Cricetulus griseus: one gene and its partner. The protein of the gene in region 2 purifies or fractionates together with the protein of the main gene of each other region. This does not show direct contact. Links are inferred from orthologs where the notes say so. Each region holds a gene or a part of one and is shown on either strand. Other genes may lie near its edges.

Region 1 (3,506 bases), on a different chromosome or scaffold from region 2:
GTCTAGCCAAATTAGTGAGCTCTAGTTTCAGTAAGAGCTCCTGTCTCAAATAATAAGGTGGAGAACCAGCCAGATGACTCCGTGAATAAAGGCCCTTGCCACCAAGCCTGTTGACAAGAGTTTGGTCCTCAGAACCCACATGGTGAAGTTGAGACCTGACTCCACCTACATGTTGTCCTCAGTGACATGTATCCCTGCTCCCAAATATACACATACACACGTAAATGTAATAAAAAATAAGGTGGCTGGAGAGATGGCTCAGTGATTAAGAGCACTGGCTCGTCTTGCAGAGGATCTGAGTTTAGTTCTCTACATTGACCTGACACAACCATCTGTAACTCCAGGTCTAGGAGATCTAGTGCTTTCTTCTGGCCTCCTTTGGACACTGTAGGCTTCTGTCATACAAACATACATGCGGGCAAAGCACCCATATGCACGAAGTAAAAACAAATAAATATTTAAAAATGCTGTGGATGTAGGGCTGGAGGTGGCTCAGTAGTTAAGAGAACCGACTGTTCTTCTAGAGGACCCGATTCTATTCCCAGCACCCATGTGACAGCTCATAACTGTCTGTAACTCAAAGATCTGACACCCTCACACAGACATACATACAGACAAAACACAAATGCACATAAGAATAAGTTATTTTTTAAAAAGCTGTGTGCAGTGATGCACACCTTTAATCACAGCATTTGAGAGACAGAGGCAGGTGGATCTCTGTGAATTTGAGGCCAGGCTGGTCTACACGAAGAACTTCAGGATAGCAAGGTCTATATACAGTGGCCTTGTCTCAATAAACAAATAAATAAAAACCTTAAAAAGATAAATGAGATGTAGAAATGATTGAGACTTCTGGCCTCACATGCATACACACATGTATAAAGATACCTCCTCCACACACTGCCCCCCCAACACACACACACAATGGATGGGGACAGGAAGCACCATGTTTACAGAAGACAGTGACCATGTGGTATGACTTGAACCCAAGGCCAGCCCTTGTGGGAGCAGTCTGCTTCCATGGTCTCTGCCCCAGCTCCCAGCTCTGGAAATCACAGAAAAACCCTAGTCTCCCTCCTGGCCCTTTCTTTAAATCTCCATTCTCCTGAGCCCCGTGGGTCTGGCTCAGCTGCCACTCATGAAGTCTTTGTGCTACCCATAGGGGCCAACCGCCTGACCCTGGAAGATGCCAACATCGTGCAGCCAGTGGGTCTGACGGTGCTGGGCAGGCACCTCTACTGGATCGACCGCCAACAGCAGATGATTGAACGTGTGGAGAAGACCACTGGGGACAAGCGGACTAGGGTTCAGGGCCGTGTCACCCACCTGACAGGCATCCATGCTGTGGAGGAAGTCAGCCTGGAGGAGTTCTGTATGTGAGAGGGGACACCATTTGTGATAGGTCCTCTGGGGGGAGGGTGACACTTCTTGGAGACTGTTGAATCATCCCTGCTGAAATCAGATTGGTTACTGGTGTAAGAACCATGTGCCTAAGGAGGTCTTGGGCTCAGCACTGAAGGCCAGTATGTGTCCTAGTATTTTCATCTGCAGTCATTTGTGTTTACTGCTATACAGAAGTCCAAGCCTGTTCTTTGTTTAATTCTTTCTTGTCTGTCTGTCTGTCTGTCTGTCTTCTAACATTTACCTACCTAGCAATCCCAACCTATCCATCTGTCCATCTCTCTCATCTGTCTGTATCCATCATCTATTTATCTACTTTTAAGGTATAGTCTCTACAGGTAGCCCAGGCTAGCCTGGAATTCTCGACAGTCCTCCGGCCTCAACCTCCTGAGTGCTGGAATTCTCCAACCCCCCCCCTCTCTGTGTGTGTGTGTGTGTGTGTGTGTGTGTGTTTCTCACATGCATGCTCACACGTTAATTCCGCTGTGTTTCTCATGGGTCTGTGGTGAGGCAGTGTGCTTCGTGACAATAATTAGGTGATGAAGCAAGGCTGCATGTACATGATTCATGGCTTGGAACCCAGACAAAGGGAGAGATGGCTTCCTACTATCTCCTTTGAAAACATGCTCCCGCCGGGCGGTGGTGGTGCATGCCTTTAGTCACAGCACTCGAGAGGCAGAGGCAGGGGTATCTCTTTGAGTTTGAGACCAGCCTGGTCTACAAGAGCTAGTTCCAGGACAGCCTCCAAAGCCACAGAGAAACCCTGTTTCGGAAAAAAAGAAAAAAAAGGAAGACATGCTCCCAATGATACAGAGATCCCCCACTAGGCTCCAGCTGTGTTGTTTTTCAGTCCTTGGAATTAAATTCATGTCTCTCATGCATGCTGCTCAAGTATTCTACCCTTGACCTACATCTCCAACTAGGTCCCACTCTTTAAAGGTTCTGCTGCCTCTCACTAGTGCCTCCATGGCTGTAGTCTACCTCTCTTAGGAAGCACAAGTCTCTGGGTTCCAATTAAAGACAAAAGAACAGAAAGGAGCCTTCTGGCTGCTCCACAGGCTGGCACAAAGCCTTTGTGAGTTGCTTATCCAAATATGGCAGTCCTTCTTATCAGCTGCTCAAATCCCTGATTTCCCATGTTGCCCCAGGAACACACTCTGCTTTCTCAGGGTTCAGGATTGGGGCTGCCCCTCCATGCTGCTGTTCCTCAGTGTGGTCCAGGCCCTTGTGGCTAAGCAGGTCTGTACCTGGAGCCCTTCCTGTCTCCCTGATGTCCCTGTCCCTCTATTGGAATCACTCCTGCTACCTGCTAATTCTCCCTCCAGGACTCAGCTTTCACCTTGGCTGTCCCTTTGCTGGGACCATGGTCACATCTCCTGCATCCCTTGTACAGGTGTGCTCAACATTTGACAATGTGATAAAATGTTGTCCACAAAACCCATCCTCGAAATTAACACAATCAAGTTGCCAAAAAACAAAAACAAAACAGAAAAAAACCTCTTTTTTTTTTTTTTTTTTTAAATTGTTTGTAGGGGTGGGACCATACATGCCATGGAACATGTGCAGGTCAGAGAACAACTTTGTGGATTTGAGTCTCTCTTTCTTCCCTTATGTGGGCATCCTAAATAGTTTTCCTGTGGCTGTGATAAACACCATGACCAAAAGCAGCTAGGGAAGAAAAGGGTGTGTTTGACTGACAGGTCACAGTCCATCATTGAAGGAACCCAGGGAGGAACTCAAGGCAGGAGTGGCGGCAGATGCATGGAGGAGCACTACTTAGTGGCTTGCTCCCATTACTTGCTCAGCCTTCTTTTTTACACCATCCAGGACTACCTGCCCAGGTATAATGCATCATTCAATAGTCAAGAAAATGCCCCCAGACACATGTCCACACACTAATCTGTTAGAGGCAGTTCGTCAATCAAGGTCCCTTCCCTCTTCAAATGACTCTAGGTTTTGTCAAATTGACAAAAAGCTAACTACCACAGTGGTTTCCAGGGGTTGAACTCAGGGATTGAACACACAGTTCCTTCACTTTCAGGGTCATCTCTCAGGCCTTGTCAAGATTTTTTAAGTAAGTTTCTGGTTGTATGTTGGGGGACATG
Region 2 (4,006 bases):
GGTGGGGCAGAGGCAGGTGGATCACGGGAGGCCACTAGCCAGCCTAACCTGAATGTCTCAGGAAGAGATCCTGTCTCAGGGAATAACCTGGAGAGTGACAGAGGAGCACACACCTCCCCTGGTCTGTATGCACCCACACATACATGTACCCTCTCACACATATACCATGCACACATGTACACAGCAAGTGTAATACTCTGAGAAATGGCGGCACTAACTGAGAAATGTCACCACTAAAAGCACTGGCCTTGGCTTTTGCTAAGAAATAGGATTCTGTGTTGCCTGCCCCAGGCCTGGCCAGGGAAGGAACTGCCTTTGGCACACCAGTCTATAAGCCACATCAAGTTCCCTGGCTAAGCATCACCTGTGATGGATCCCAGGTCCCAAAGGGTAGAAGAGATTTCCTCTTTGTGCTCCATCTCCAAGAGCTGTGCTTACCCTCCACCTGTTGCCAGAATCCCACCTTCTCACCGGTGGCTCTGGACTCTCTACTTCTCCCTGGTTTTAAGGAGAAAGCCAAGGGACTTTTGCTCGGAATCTTCAGTGCTGAGCCATATGAACTTGAGGCCAATGGGATTTCTTTAAAAGCACCCGTGTAGAAGAGTGCTTGCATAGCAAGCATGAGACTCTTAGGTTGGATTCCCCCAAATAAAAAAGGCATCCTTCTGCTTGTGGGTGGGTAGTGGGGTGCAACAGACACCTTTAATTAAGACCATTAGCTGGTGGGGTGACAAAGGAACTTGGCTAGAGGAATTTGGTCAGCTGGACTCTGCCTTCTGTAGAACTCCACATGTTTCCTTTGTTAAGCTGGCCCACAGTTTGTTTTGAGAATGCCTGAGGGGCCCAGGGAGCCAGACAATTAAAAGCCAAGCTCATTTTGATATCTGAAAACCACAGCCGTCAGAACGTGGGAGGTGCTGGGAGAGTTGGCTCTGTCCTTGCCTCACCGCACCCCCTCCCACTTGGGTCACCTGGGAGTGCCAGCAGCAATTTGGAAGTTTGCTGAGCTTAAGAAGTCTTGGGGAGGGCTTGCTCTGAGCACACCCCTTTCCCCTGAGGAGGGGGGGTGAGGAAACTTGGGAACAGCCCTGTTCTAGTCCATCCTTATTGGCTGGCATGAGGCAGAGGGGGTTTTAAAAGGCGACTGTATCTAGGCTGGGGACTGGAGCCTGTGCTACTGAGTGCCTTCCTCCATCTGGCACCATGCAGCTCTCGCTAGCCCTGTGTCTTGTCTTCCTGCTTGTACATGCAGCCTTCCGTGCTGTGGAGGGTCAAGGGTGGCAAGCCTTCAAGAATGATGCCACCGAAATCATCCCTGGGCTCAGAGAGTACCCTGAGCCTCCCCAGGAGCTGGAGAACAACCAGACCATGAACCGGGCAGAGAATGGAGGGAGACCTCCCCACCATCCCTATGACACCAAAGGTATGGGATGGAGAAGACAAGTTGTTAGCATGGGGGCCCGGGAGGTAATGGGGGTAGTTTTAGAATCTGCTCTTTGGAGGCCTTGGAGATTGGGCGGATAGTTAGCCTCTGCCACACCAGGGGAGGGACAAGCTTGCCTGGAAGAATGCTAGCACAGCATTAGAGTCTGAGGACAGGCTTGGGGAGGGGGGCTGGCTGAGCACCCAAGACAGGGGTCAGGCCGAGATCAGCCGAAGCTGGCATTAACTTAGGCAAGGGCTTGTAGGATGGTTCAAAGAATCTCCTAGATCTGGCTGGACCAGTGGGAAGGTGACAAGGTAAGGCTGGTAAGCACCTTGATGGATGCTGTGGCTGTACTGTATGGCCACCCCATAAGGTAATCCTAGCTTGAAGGTGGATAGATTGAGGCTCCTGAGATAAAGCCACCTTGGAGAAGGGGTAAAAGAGCTGAGACTGGAAGCTGGTTTGATCCAGTTGCAACACAACCCTAGATTGGGTTTGGATTGGAACCTGAAGCCGGAAAGAACCCCCACTCAGTTCCCCCTGTTGGGCGCAGTGGGTTAGCATCAGAGAACAGGCTTTTAGGTACAGTTTTAGCCAGTGACATGACTGGCAGATGAGTGTAGCGTCCCCCCATATGGGCACAGGTGGCACCATCTGCCCTCTGCTTGCACCCTGGCCCAGCTTTGTCTCTCCTGTCTCTCCTGTCTCCTGGCCAGTGAGGAGAATGGGGAAAGCGCTACCCTGGAGAAGCAGGAGCAGAGGAGCGTGCAATGTGGTCACGTTTTGCAGAGGAAGTGCCTGACCTAAGGACACTATTCTTGGAAAACCCCCAAACTTATCCTTCCCTGGGCAAATCGACTCGCCTCCACATACCACCTCTACAGGGGTGAGGAAGTCAAATCAGCCCAGAAACCAAAGAGCCAGCCACAGAAGGGTAACACTTCCGCAGCTGTGCCTGCTCTCTGGGGTGGAGGTGGTTGCTGGCCTCTGCTTCTCTCTGGTTTTGGTTCTGGAACTTTTTTTTTTTTTTTTAAATCTTTTCATGCCATATTAGGGCTCATTCTGTGAAACTTTTGGGGGTAGACAGGACTCACATATGAATTATCTAGCTTAAAAGCTCCTGTCCACCCACCTAAGCCCATGGTGGGAGACATAGCCTGGGTGTGTGCATGAGATGAGGCCAGGCATGGGACCCAGCCTCTTCCACAGAAGGCAGGCTTGCATCACCATGAGCTATTGTTCAAGGCACACAGAACACGAGAGCCTGGTATGCAGCAGGTGCTAAACAAATGCTTATGGGGGTAGAAGCTGTAGGGCTGGGGGCCAGAACTCTGACTCCCTCTGCTAAGGAAGTAGCTAGCGAAGAGTGAGCAGCCCTCTCCCCCCCACCCCAACCCCTCCCCAACCTGGGATCCTCTAACAAATCACTTTCACCCTTGAAGGAGCCAGAAGGTGCTGGCATCCTAGGCAGGGGTGTCAGGCAACCCAGTCCTGCCTTTGGGGCAAGTTCTTTTCTCAGCCTGGACCTGTGATAATGAGGGGGTTGCAAACGCCGCCTTTGGTTGCTTTCAAGTCTAATGAATTCTTATCCCTGCCACCCGCCCTTCTACCCGCTTCTCTACAGCAGCTGTCCTGATTTATTACCTTCAATTAACCTCCACTAGTTTCTCCATCTCCTGAGCCCCCGTCCCTGCTCCAGTGACTGGTAAAAAATTTAGAAGGGACCAGAGTCAGCCCTAGCTGGCTAGCGGCTGCTAGGCAGGGCTGGGGATAAGGAGCTAAATTTCTAGAAGATTGCTTGGCTATTATGCGCGAAGCTCAGGGCCGGATCCCTAGTACCTCATAAGCCAGACAGTGGGTGATCCACGCCTGTATACCACCACCGGAGAGGTGAAGATGGGAGCTCAGACACTCAAGATCATCCTCAAGTACACAGCTCATTTCAGGCCAGCCTGGGCTACATAAGACCCAGTCCCCAAACAAGAACATACTGCCAGCTCTGACTGTGCCATGTAGCGCCCGGTATAATGCGCATGTAGTGGATGAAGCCATTGAATCCTGGGGCAACCTGTTTTACAGATGTGGGGAAGAGAGACGTTAAGTTGCTTGCCCACCGACCACATAGAAAGTAAATGGCCGAGCTCTGGTGTTTGATCACTGGCTTCTAAGGACAGTGAGCAGCCAGGGAGAGATCTTCCCCTGCAAGCTCCAAAAGTACCTGGTGCTTCCTTCCTATAAGCCATGCATGGCTGAGAAAGCGCCTGGAGAGCAGCAGGTTTGGAAAAAGCAGGGAGAAAATAGCGGGAGCAGGCCAGCCTGGGCTAGGCTGCCGCCCTTACGCTTCGCTCTCTCCGCAGACGTGTCCGAATACAGCTGCCGCGAGCTGCACTACACCCGCTTCGTGACGGACGGGCCGTGTCGCAGCGCCAAGCCGGTCACCGAGCTGGTGTGTTCGGGCCAGTGTGGCCCCGCGCGCCTGCTGCCTAACGCCATCGGCCGCGTGAAGTGGTGGCGCCCAAACGGACCCGACTTCCGCTGCATCCCGGACCGCTACCGCGCGCAGCGGGTGCAACTGCTGTG

What was found.
Region 1: the proteins of Sost (region 2) and Lrp5 purify together in Homo sapiens (affinity purification with mass spectrometry; 3 studies listed by BioGRID and IntAct, counting the BioPlex papers as one, with this or other methods). This does not show direct contact. The link is inferred for Cricetulus griseus from reciprocal best matches to the Homo sapiens genes SOST and LRP5.

What each region holds. Positions count from the first base shown.
Region 1 is NC_048596.1:55,635,663-55,639,168, forward strand, and holds part of Lrp5 (low-density lipoprotein receptor-related protein 5), read left to right. Parts: intron 1-1,162; coding exon 1,163-1,372; intron 1,373-3,506. UniProt on the Homo sapiens protein: Acts as a coreceptor with members of the frizzled family of seven-transmembrane spanning receptors to transduce signal by Wnt proteins.
Region 2 is NC_048600.1:116,129,626-116,133,631, forward strand, and holds the start of Sost (sclerostin), read left to right. Parts: upstream 1-1,203; coding exon 1,204-1,423; intron 1,424-3,783; coding exon 3,784-4,006. UniProt on the Homo sapiens protein: Negative regulator of bone growth that acts through inhibition of Wnt signaling and bone formation.